3 linked regions of the Sus scrofa genome follow. The protein of the gene in region 3 binds, or shares a complex with, the protein of the main gene of each other region. Links are inferred from orthologs where the notes say so. Each region holds a gene or a part of one and is shown on either strand. Other genes may lie near its edges. The genes, in order: MED7, MED20 and MED23.

Evidence for each region.
Region 1: MED23 (region 3) and MED7 share a complex: the UniProt entries of both Homo sapiens proteins name them as parts of the mediator complex. The link is inferred for Sus scrofa from reciprocal best matches to the Homo sapiens genes MED23 and MED7.
Region 2: MED23 (region 3) and MED20 share a complex: the UniProt entries of both Homo sapiens proteins name them as parts of the mediator complex. The link is inferred for Sus scrofa from reciprocal best matches to the Homo sapiens genes MED23 and MED20.

What each region holds. Positions count from the first base shown.
Region 1 is NC_010458.4:66,113,200-66,117,532, reverse strand, and holds the start of MED7 (mediator of RNA polymerase II transcription subunit 7), read right to left. Parts: upstream 2,938-4,333; 5' UTR 2,658-2,937; exon of another isoform or gene 2,363-2,657; intron 1-2,362. UniProt on the Homo sapiens protein: Component of the Mediator complex, a coactivator involved in the regulated transcription of nearly all RNA polymerase II-dependent genes.
Region 2 is NC_010449.5:37,071,248-37,075,607, forward strand, and holds the start of MED20 (mediator of RNA polymerase II transcription subunit 20), read right to left. Parts: upstream 2,904-4,360; 5' UTR 2,774-2,903; coding exon 2,760-2,773; intron 1-2,759. UniProt on the Homo sapiens protein: Component of the Mediator complex, a coactivator involved in the regulated transcription of nearly all RNA polymerase II-dependent genes.
Region 3 is NC_010443.5:31,991,143-31,994,787, reverse strand, and holds part of MED23 (mediator of RNA polymerase II transcription subunit 23), read right to left. Parts: intron 3,242-3,645; coding exon 3,025-3,241; intron 1,140-3,024; coding exon 903-1,139; intron 1-902. UniProt on the Homo sapiens protein: Required for transcriptional activation subsequent to the assembly of the pre-initiation complex. Component of the Mediator complex, a coactivator involved in the regulated transcription of nearly all RNA polymerase II-dependent genes.

The sequences.
Region 1 (4,333 bases), on a different chromosome or scaffold from region 3:
ATAAATCTGAAAGGTATCTTAGGCCTCCGTTTTTACCAACCTACTCTCCTCACCATCACTGCCAAATTTATCAAGACCTGTTAATTCCAAACCTCACTATCACGAATTCATCAGTTTTGACCAAGACACCATTCCCTCTTACCTGGAACACAATGGCTTCACCAGGGATTATTTCATATTCGTTACTATTCTTCTCTATATACCAGTCAACCCAACTCTCACACCACATTCCTTTTCCCTTCTATCCTAGAAAAAATGTTTTCCAGTATTCTTATACAATTCTTTACACCAACCTCTCCTGCCTTTGGGTCTTTCCATATGATTTTCTTCCTGCTTCAGGCACTAGCTTAAAATTGTCACCTCTAAAGATATTACTTCTCTGATTATTCATCAAAAACAGATTCTTCCTTTCCTCTTTTACTCTCTGTACCAGAATCTGATTTGTTGCCCCAGTCAGACTATAAGCTACAAGGGGAAGGACTATAACTATCACAGCTCTCACTGTGTCAATTGCGCACAAAAGCTTCATAAATATTTGCTGGTAGCTCCATTCATTTCAAAAGGGTTCCAAACCAGTGGAAATTTGGAAGTAGGTACAAACATCTTTAACATGCATTTATTCCTTCAAACATTTACTGTTTGTCTAATATATGATAATGATGATTATGACAGATAATATTTGTAGTGTATACTATGTGCCAGACACTGTTCTTAATTACTTTTCTCATGGTTATGAGAAATCTAAGAAAAGAAAAGTGCTCTTTCCAATTTGGAGATGAGACCACTGTGGCTCAGAAAGGTTGACCCACTTCTATAAAGTCACAGAGTAAAGGAAGGATCCAGAGTCTGAGAATGTCAAACACTACACCATTCTCTCTCTTAAGAAACACTGCCTCCATCCTAGCGTTGCTTAAAAATCTATCAAGGAAAATGGACAACAGATAACTACACGGCTTAAGGGTGCTACAAAAGACCAACAGATCTGACTACCAAAAACAAATCTAAAAACCATATAGAAAAGTATATCATAAACGAAATTAAAAAACAATCCCATTTTTCTGGGAGAAGAATGCTTGCAAGCTAACAAAGGACAAATACTAGGAATTTAATTTTGATTTTTTTACTGACTCCATCCCCACAAGAAGAAAAGCACTACGACTTCAGGAACTGTCTGTCTTATTCAAAAATGTACCTCCAGTATTTCAAGCAATGCCTAGAAGGTGCTAAATCCTCAATAAAGATTCAATGAGTTGTGGTTGTTTTTAACCTATATTTTTAAAAATTAATAGAAAAACAGGCAAAAGATGACAAAGAAAATGGAAATGTGAATAAAAGCTTGAAAACATTCAGACTAATGCACCGTTAAAAGCAAATTTTAAAAAGGATCCTTCCCATCTAACAGACTATTAAGATTTCAACTATTCCATCATTCAACAAACATCAGAACACCTTCCATGCAGTGGGCCCTGGATCCCGGACCTGGGGCTCCCAGAACACTCCCCTTCCTCTCGGTGCCCTCAGAGTGGCCGTCTCAATTTTAGAAGCAGGTTTCCCAATTTCAGAAGCAGGCTAGGGGTCAATTCCGAGCTACCGCTGGCGGCCAATGCCACGGCTCACCACAAGGCCAAATCCTTAACCCACTGAGTGGGCCAGGAGTCGAACCCGCAACCTCATGGTTCCAGGTCGGATTCCTCTCCGCTGCGCCACGACGGGAACTCCAGTATCACTGTTTTATACCCTCCCTTACTTAAGCTTCGTAATATTTCTGTGAGTTTAATACCACTATCGATTTCATTTTAGAGCTGATAATTACAAGTCTGTCTCATTGAGAGGGAGTGTCTGCAACCAGATCAAAAAGCTAATAAATGGCAGAGCAGGAATTCTTATCTAGGTCCTTTTTGTTGCACCATCAAGCTCTCTCAAATCAGTGAAGTACCAAGAGCCTAACAATACAAAAAAAACTTGATATACTACAGAAATTATGTTTCTCTCTCCATCACTTCTCTCAGCTGAACTTGTCAAAAGCGATGGAAGTCTCTGGTAAAACCAGCGCCAGGCATCACAGGTGGTGATCAGATTGAAGATCCACCTTTCAGTGTCTGTTTCGTTTTGGAGGACTTAACTAAAACAGAAAGGTATTCCAGGGTGCCAGTCCCAGAGGTTTTGCTCACTTCTCTACTGTGAAGGGGGACGCTTAAAAGCTGCCTTCAAAACCTCTCTGGATGATCTGATGATGAGGCTATAGTTCTACCTCCTTCCCAGCCTCCCACTATTTCATGTGATTAGAGGACTGATCCCCGAGGGAGGGTTGGTTATCTCATAAAGCCGGAGGGGCCAAGAGACTTGCAGAGGCTACACAAACCAGCGGCACACGACTGGAACTCAGCTCCCCGGACCTCCGGCGCAGCTCGAGATCCCGACTCGGAAGCAGCCCGCAGCCCACTGCGCGGAGAGCACCTTCCTCCAGGCGCTCTACCCGGCGGCTCCGCGGGGGTCGGGGAGGCCGCGCTCCCCGAAGGGCGCGGGAGAGGAAGGTGGGCGAGCACACTATGCGCCAAGCCTCCCACCACTCCCAGCCCGCCGGGAGGAAGCGGCGGGGTCCGGAAGGAGAAATGCAGCGGACGGAACCGAGCCCCAAGTCGTCGCCGCCCACTCACCTCGGTACTGGGTTTACACTGGTAACCGCCTTCGCCACCACAGCCGAAGTCCAACTTCCGGCCTCCTCTTCCCGGAAGAAGCTACTGGTGCTGTCTCTTGACTGGCGGAAAGAGCTGTCCTTTAACCCAGGCTCTAGTCCCGCCTCAGACCGATGGCTCGCTATTGCGCCTGCGCATAACCTCCTCTCTCCCCGCTCTTTCCGCGATTTGGCGGCAGCCGCAGGGTTTGGGGTGTTGGAGTCTTTTCTTGTGCTTTTTCTATCAGTAGCAGTGGCACGTGGTAGCGTCGTTTCTTTTTTTGCTGTTTTTTTTTAACGCTTAAAATTAAAGCATCCATATGCCTTACATAAACTTTAAAAAATAGAGACAAGCAGCTATTTTTAAACGTTACATTTAAAAAAATGTTACCCCACTGTCAAAAACAACATTTAAATAAATACATAAATAAATAATTTTAAAAATAACCTTAAGAAATGAGATTGGACTCCACATGCTGGAAATAATTTGGAACATGGAAATCTTAATCTCGAAATATGTGTGAAAATGGTTGGGAAGCAACATATTCTTAATTTATATTTCTTCACCGTCCATTCAGTTTTATTCACGTATTCAGATTCTGTTACATTTCCAGGCAACAAATTAACAAGCATAAAACAAAACGATATGTAAGAGTTTCTTCTGGAGGCGACTTTCAAGAAGTGCTACACATTTCTAAATTTGTGGGAATCTTACAAAAAAGCATGCTACCAAGACACGGCTCGGATCCCGCCTTGCTGTGGCCCTGGCTTACGCTGGCAGCTACAGCTCCAATTGGACTCCTAGCCTGGAAACCTCCATATGCAGTGGGTGCAGCCCTAAAAAGACAGAAAGACAAAAAAAAAAAAAAAAAAAAAAAAAAGATTTTTTTATTCCAGTTTTTAAAACTTACTATGAAGCGTTCCAAACATATATAGAAGTAGAGAATAGTCTCTACTTTCAATTTCAATAATTATCTACCTATAGACATTATTTCAGTTCAGTATGCATTTCTGAAAGATAAAGACTTGTTTGGGGGTTTTATTGTTGTTTTCATTGAACCACAGAACCACTGTCTCATTTAAAAATAAGTTAATAACTTGATTTAGTTTCATCAATGAAATCAGTATGAAAATACCAAATGTCTGAAGATGCAATGAAGTCTTTTGTGACTAGCTGATGTATCTTTTTATTATCTTTTTTTTTTTTTTTTTTTTTTTGGCTTTTTAGGGCCACACTCCAGGGCATATGGAGGTTCCCAGGCTAGGGGTCTAATTGGAACTGTAGCTGCTGACCTAGACCACAGCCACAGCAATGCAAGATCCAAGCCACGTCTGTGAACTACACCAGAGCTCAGGGCAAAGCTGGATCCTTAACCCACTGGGCAAGATCAGGGATCAAACTTTCATCCTCACAGATGCTAGTCAGGTTCATTAACTGCTGAGCCACAATGGGAACTCCTCTTTCTATTATCTTTTAATCTATAGTTTCCTTCCTCCATTTCAGTCCCCCCCCCCACACACATCAATTTATTTGTTGAAGAAATATGTTCACTTTTTTTTTGTTTTCGTTTTTTGGCTTTTTGACTTTTTAGGGCCACACTTGTGGCACATGGAGGTTCACAGGCTAGGGGCTGAATGAGAGCTACAGCTGCTGGCCTA
Region 2 (4,360 bases), on a different chromosome or scaffold from region 3:
GAACGAAAGCTGTCCAGCACAGGAGCCACAAGCCATGTGCGACAGAAATGAAAACTTCAACTCTTCAGTTGCACTGCCCACATTTCAATAGCTCAATAGCCACAAGTGGCTAGGAACTGGTGTACCGGACAGTGACATAGAACATTTTCATCAATGAAGAAAGTTCTAAGGATCCTTGGATCAAAGAGAAAGCAAGCCTCAAGTTTCTAATCTTTGAGAGTGAGAGGCAACAAGAATTTAGCCAAAACAATGAGATAAAAAGTTATTTCCAAGATTTCCTTCTATGGAGAGTGCAACTGGCTTCTACTTTAAGTGGTAGGTAATAATTACCAAGCACCAACTATGAGCCAGGCAGTGCCCAAAGCCTTTAGATGAATTAACTTGCATCAGCCCTATAAGACACAGCATAATCATTTCTTCATTACAAATGAGAAAACTACTGAACAGAGAGGTTGAGTAACTGGCACAAGGTCATACTGCTTAATGCAGTGTAGTCAAGTGAGGTGGCTCCGTGTCCATGCTCTTAAATGCTCCACCGAAAGCTTTCCAAGTTCCCACTGTGGTTAAGGATCAGCATTGTCTCTGTGACGGCATGGGTTTGATACTGCCCTGGGGCAGTGGGTTAAGGAACTGACATTCCCACATTTGTGGCACAGCTTACAGCTGTGACTCAGATTCAGTCCCTGGCCTGGGAACTTCCATATGCCTCGAGTGCAGCTGAAAGAGGAAAAAAAAAAAAAAGAATGCTTTCCTAAGGATACAGTTGTCTGTTAAAATACTTATAAGGAAAAAAACAGAATCAAAAGAAAGCATTAGGAGTTCCTGTCGTGGCGCAGTGGTTAACGAATCCGACTAGGAACCATGAGGTTGTGGGTTCGATCCCTGCCCTTGCTCAGTGGGTTAAGGATCCTGTGTTGCCGTGAGCTGTGGCGTAGGCCAGCGGCTACAGATCTGATTAGACCCCTAGCCTGGGAACCTCCATATGCTGCGGGAGCGGCCCAAGAAATGGCAAAAAGAAAAAAAAAATTAAAAAAAAATAAATAGTTCAAGTGCTATGAAGTTATATAAAAATCATAAAGACAATCATTATGTGGCTGAATTTTGGGAGGTACTGCATTACTTTATGACCAATTATGATCAACTAAAGGAAAATATAAAAACAGACCCCTGCTGTTGCTACAAATTGTCAGTAATCTCCATCAGGAAGAGCACTAACAAGCCACAATGATGATGGCCTTTATTTTGAAAAATAAGAGAATCCCTTAGATGATACAACTGGGGTCCAAAGTACTAGGAATCTGAAAAGTCGAGAAGGGTCCCAACAGAGGGCCTTTTCCCTCTGTCTGCCTTCTGCACTGAAGGAACAGGGGCTTCGGAGTTCTGCTCGTGGCTCAGCGGGTTAAGAATGTGACCAGTATCCATGAGGATATGGGTTCGATCACCTAGCCTCGCTCAGTGGGTTAAGGATCTGGCGGTGCCATGAGCTGTAGTGTAGGTTGCAGATGCAGCTCGGATCTGGCATTGCTGTGGCACAGGCTGGCAGCCACAGCTCTGATTCAACCTCTAGCCTGGGAACTTCCATGTGACACAGGAACGGCCCTAAAAAGAAAAAAAGAAGAAGAAAAAAAAAAAGCTGTAGGAACAGCCCTAAAAAGAAAAAAAGAAAAAAGAAAACAAAAACAAAAACAAAAACAACAACAGGGGCCTCACAGCAGAAACTGACACAATGTTGTAAATCAACTATATTTTAATTTAAAAAAGAAAAGAAAAAAACAACAGGGGCTTCCAGGATTCCATGCCTCTGCGGAGGAAACTTTTCATCTCCATTCTTCACATCCTCCTTACACTAAAAGACTTCCAAAGAGGCTCATGATGTCAACTGCAGGAAGCAAATGTGCAGTCACTGACAAGTGTGCAAGACTTGGGTGACTGGGAGGAAGAATTCCCACAGGCTCTTTTCTTATATGAAGACTCTATAGCCACTGACTCCTGATACCCTGGCCTCTAGCCCTCTCTGATTGGAAAGATGCTCCAGATACCTTTTTTTTTTTTTTTCTTTTAAGCCCTGAAATCTAGCATTTTGGAACTAATGCCTCCAAGAGCATGAGGCCCATATTTCCCTGCACTCTGACTCATAACACGTTACAGATATTAAGTCCACAGAAACTAAACCAAGCATGTAATTAAACATAGTAGGAAACAGGTTCTGAGGAGGTGATGTGCCTAACATCCCAATCTCCTAACTCCCAATAGCTTCTTTTTTTCCCCCTCTAGACCCGAGATCTTAAAATGGCCAAATTAGAACTAGACACAGGCTGGTCTAACTGCATTTAGTGGCCATAGGGAAGGGCAAAAACCTAAAAAAGATACTGCCTTCAATGTTGTCTATCTCCCTCCCCACAACCCATCCAACCTTGACTGCAGATGGGTCCTAAACCCGACATACTATTTCCGACCCCAGGCAGTACTGTGGGATGACGAGCAGGAAGAATATACCAAGAAAAACGGAAGGAGGTACGCGACCACTGGTGGATTCTTAAGATAAAAATTTTTAACCTGCCACCTTTGAGAAAGAAGGGGCGCATCTCCGAGGAAAAAGGCCCGCAGATTTCGCAGCCCTCACAGTGGTCCCCTCACCCACACAACTCGAGGGCATCTCTCTCAGACCCTGATCCCGATCCTCCTCTCGGGGACACTGGAGGCTCCACCGGCCCTTCACCACCCCAAGCTTCGCCCCACGAAATCCCTTGAAGTCCTACCAAGTCACTCCCATGATGTTAGGCCAGGAAGATGACAGTACTGAACAGCTGATACGCAGTGCTCTGCTGCAGCCCACGCGAGGTGAAACCACCGACCTAACGAAAGCTTCGGTAGTAGGAGGTGCTCCGGAAATAACGTAAAAAGTGCGAGTCCCTTCGGCGGCCACGAGGAACGGGGCGTACAGGCGCCTCCAGTGACGTCACTGCAGGGCTCCGCCCCCTAGGCTTGCAGCTCGGGGACTTCCTATTCGACAAATCACCCCGGGCCTAGATTCATGAAGCTAAGAAAGCGTGGCTTGGACTGCCACTGCTTAGAGAAGGCGATGTTAATTGCAATGAGTTTATTCGGGAGTCCAGCTCCAGGACTCAGGAGCTCTATCAGGGGGTGGGGCGGGGATGGTGGCAGGTCCGGCCTCCGAACACCAGGGGGCGCTGTAATCACCGTCTGGCCTCTGGGGAGTTCCCTGCGCCGGCGCACTCAGAGCTTTTCCTCTGTCCCCACATGTGAAACTTCCCGGCGAGGTTTTCTAGCGAAATGCCCAAACTCAAGGCCGCCCGCGGGGCCGAGGGTCAGGAAAAGCATGCGCCCCTGGCCGACCAAATCCTGGCTGGGAATGCGGTGCGGGCGGGGACCCGGGAAAAGCGGCGGGGTCGCGGAACCGGAGAAGAGGAGGAGGAGTACGTGGGGCCTCGGCTGACCCGACGGATTTTGCAACAAGCGCGGCAGCAGCAAGAGGAGCTCGAGGCTGAGCATGGGACCGGGGACAGGCCGGCGGCACCTCAAGATCGCACCACGCGGCTGGGTGAGTAGCGAGAGTGGGTGCGAGAAAGAGGATGGGTAGTTGGTAGTGGTAGGCTGAAAAGTGTCCGGCAGGATAATAGTTTGGAATTAAAAAAAAAAAAAAAAACCCAGGGGGGCGTATTACACTCTAGCAAAGGTAATGGAATGGGAGACCCAGCCCTGGCCGGATTTAGGGTGGCTGGAGACCTTCACCTAAAAGTTGAGAGTTAAGTTTTATTTGGAGCAAAATTAGGACCTAGGCCCGGGAGACAGAATCTCAGGTAGCACGGAGGAAACCGGTGCGAGGAGGGGAGCTAGGATATGAGGCAGGTAGTGTTGCCAAAACTCTGTCTCTGTCCTCCGATGCCCAGTTGAAGCACAGAGACAGGGTTTTGGGTGAAGAAGAAAAAGATATCTCTATTGCTCTGCCAAAGGAGGGCCAGAGCAGGTTAGTGCCCTAAAGACTATGGTCCCCTTGAGAGAGATTAGGAGATGGTTTTACAGTGTAAGAGTGGAAAATAGAGCCGCAGTTAAGGACCAGGGTCGAGGCAAACTTGCACGGTTTCTCACGCTCCTGTTTAGTGGCCCCAGGACTGGTTCTGGTGGTCCTCCTTTTTTCCACTGAAGAATGCTTCATACTTCATCAAGTAATAGTTCTGCAGAAGGGCTCAAAGATACTATGTATATTCCTTGAGGAGGAATCTGGACCTGCCCCAAGGTTGCACTATTGTCTCTGTTTTTTGTTTTTTTTTTTTTTTGCTTTTTAGGACCGCACCTGTGGCATATGGAGGTTCCTGAGCTAGGGGTCCAGTCAGAGCTG
Region 3 (3,645 bases):
TCTGTGACTTAAGAGCTACAGATGCAGCCAAGCTATCCCTAGGCTTTATCAACTTATTTCTTTTAGTACCTATAGGACAGTTAATAAGAAAATTTCTTTAGCCTAAGTAATTCTTTTACTTCAGGAAATAATTCCTTTGTGTAGTAAAATAAACCTAGTAAATAGTGGCATGGTGTACAATGTGCTATTAAATACAATGTGCTAATTACTTGAAATAAAAATATCAATATAGAATTTCTCACTAAAAAAAAGAAAAAGAAGTTTTATTACTATCTATTAATGCTTTAAAAAATTCAGGTTTTTATTTAAAGCAACAAAATTCTATGTTCTCTGGTGGTGAATAGATGCATGTACTACAAGACTTAGTACATTTATTTAGGAATAGGATATTTTTCTTTGAAATAAATCTCTTCTCTAAGGTCTTTTTTCTTTTTTTAGGGCTGCATCCACAGCATATGGAGGTTCCCAGGCTAGGGGTCTAATTGGACCCGTAGCGCTGGCCTACATCATAGCCACAACAACGCAAGATTCGAGCTGTGTCTATAACCTATACCATAGCTCACGGCAACACCGGATCCTTGACCCACTGAGCGAGGCCAGGGATCGAATCCTCCTCGTTCTCATGGCTAATGGTCAGATTCGTTTCCGCTGAGCCATGAAGGCGGAAATATAAATTTTTAAATATAAATTTTTTTAAATATAAATTTTAGTGGAGTAAATTTCTACCTACATGGCATGCTGCTACTAATTTAAGATTTCAAAACCTTTACAGAAGCAAAAATTAAAACATAAAACATTAAAAAACCTGAAGTCTTGGAACATATAAAAAGACAACATATGTTCACACATATCGACATACAGTTATTTCTGCAGAGACTGGAAAAGCACAATAAAAAGGATATTATCTACTAGTCTGCCAATCAATTTGCAATAGTAGGAGTCATCGGGGACCCAGGGATTGTCTTCTCGTGCGTTCATAGCACATTTCAGGTAAGTGTCACTTAGACACCAGCCCTGTGGTCGGTTATCCTTGAGCGACCCAATGATTGCATGGACAAGTTTTCGTTTGAGACTTTCACGATTTCTCAGGTGCATTTCATAATAGTGCAGAGTATTATACAAATAAGTTACTGGACGATCTGCCAAGAAGAAAAGAGGTCACTACAATGTTTACCTGGTTACTGACAACTGTGAAAAAATAACCTTCTATTTTTAAGATTACCAATAAATAGCTCAGAAGGTTATGAAAACTACTTCACATGTTGGCCAAGTGCATACAATGAATGTTTTTATCCTAGGACAAGGCAAAAGGCTTCTAACAATATACAGAGCTTATATTGAAGGATATTTATCACATTCTGAGGTCACAATTCCACTTCTGGAAATTTACTCTGCAAAAAATGTCATAAATGTAAGCAATGTCGCTGAAGCCCTGCTTATACCAGCAAAAGATCAAAACAGCCTAAAGAGTGAAAAACAGTGGACAGGTTAACTTAATTACCGCATATAAGAAGCAGCTTTGTATGTACTGATACAAATTTATCAACCCCAATACATTAGAAAGGTTAGAAAGGTTAAAAAAAAAAAAAGGTGCAGAACAATGTGTAGTATTACATATTTGTGGGAAAAAGACTACCAACCTCACAATATTTATGGTACGATACACAAGAAAGTGGTAACAGAAATTGCTTATAGAGAAAGAAACTGCTGAACTAGAGCACAGGCTTGGGACTAACTACTTTACACTTCATTATGTGCATATATTATCCGATCCAAAAGAAAAGTATTTTTATTTTTAAAATTTTTTTTCTTTTTAGGGCTGTACCCACAGCATACGGAAATTCACAGGCTAGGGGTCACATTGGAGCTGTAGATGCAGGCCTACACCACAGCAACGCTGGATCGTTAACCCACTGAGCAAGGCCAAGGATTGAACCTGCATCCTCATGGATGCTATTCAGATTTGTTTCCGCTGAGCCACGAAAGGAACTCCAGAGAAGTGTTTTTAAAAGACTGCTCCCTTGAACTTCATACTTACTCTACAGTGCTAAAACATAATTCAGATTTGTTTTGGAGGAAGACTTCTTACACCAAGGATTAAGAAGAACTACCCCCCAAATAAACACTCTGTCCCCATAGTGGCTACTCCAAGACTTCCACACTCTGTCACTGATTTCACTATTCTCCAGTTATCAAGCTTAAAACATCATAGAGCTGTCTTTGCTTTCTTTTGATATTCCCCCCATAACTGGTCAATCAAGCCCAATTCTTACTTCCTTGACTATCTGTCCCTTCTTTCTCATTCAAGGCCATCATACTTGTTTAGATGCTAATACAACTGAATGTCTTGTTATAAGTCTTTAAAATGACTTCCTCCTTCCAAGTTGTCCATATTGGAATTACAACTGACTAGATTTATCTTTCTAAAATAATACTATGACATGACTTAACTCAGTAACTTCTAGTTAATGCTTGATTATCTTTAGGTTATAAAATCAGAACTTCTGAGCCTGGCATTTACGGTGATCTGCCATCAGGTACAATTTAGCCCAACGAGACGACTGTTTTCAAAATGCCTTGTTTTTAACATCTCCATGATTCTTCCAAAAGATTTTTTCTGCCTAGTATGTTCTCTTCTCCTTCCTATTTATATAAATCCCATACATCATAGTTCAAACCCTAACCATCCAAGAAGCCCACTAAGATCTATTTAGTTCACAGTAACACCAGTCTGTTCTGAACTTATTTTTTTTCCTTCTGTACTGATTTGGAAATTAATCACACAATATATACAACAAGGCTTCTCTTGCATATTACTTTTTTTTTTTTTTTGCTCTGATCTGTTGATATTTTTATGTCATTTATTTTACATTTCATGGCATCATCACACATACCTCCTCTCAAAACACTTATATTAAAATTATTAAAATAAAACCTTTAGAATCACCATTATCCATTTGGTCATGACCAGCCTACTTTTGTCTACAGGGCTATTAGATGGAATTAAAATTTGAAAAAGCTCACCATGAAATTTATACAAGCCTCCCAGGTGATCTAGTAGAGTCTCCAATGATTTGGATACTGGGAGCAATTCTAAAAATCTGTGGATTACTATATCAAATACTGGAAGGAAGCGGAGACACACATTTCCAAAATAGATGGGCAGGTAGGGAGACTGGATCGGCACAGGAGGATCAACCTGCTCTGCCAGGCCCTCAAAATAGAGCTTCTCCGGATATTTCTGTGGAAATGAGGAAATGGTAAATGTTGAGGCATGTTTTTTTTTTTTTTCTCCTTAAAGGAGCTAAACTTGTCGTTTTTCACAGAATCTGAAACTGTTTGCTGCTACAATAAAATGAAACTTAAGAGTCCTTTTATCCAACAAAAAATCTCTACTGTTTCAAAGATACATTTACATACATAATTCTTTTCATTTTTTAAGTACTCATGTCTACTAAAACTATAGTTTTAATTTATTCTGAACATTACAGATAGCCTCTAGAACCTTGAGAAAGTTAAGAGAGCTAATTCACTTCTATACGGACCAGAGAGAAAACAGTAGAGCTGCAGAGAAAACAGCCAGGTCAATTAGCCAAATACCTACAAGAATGGCTTTAAAAAGGATTAACTGAAGCACTAACTTGA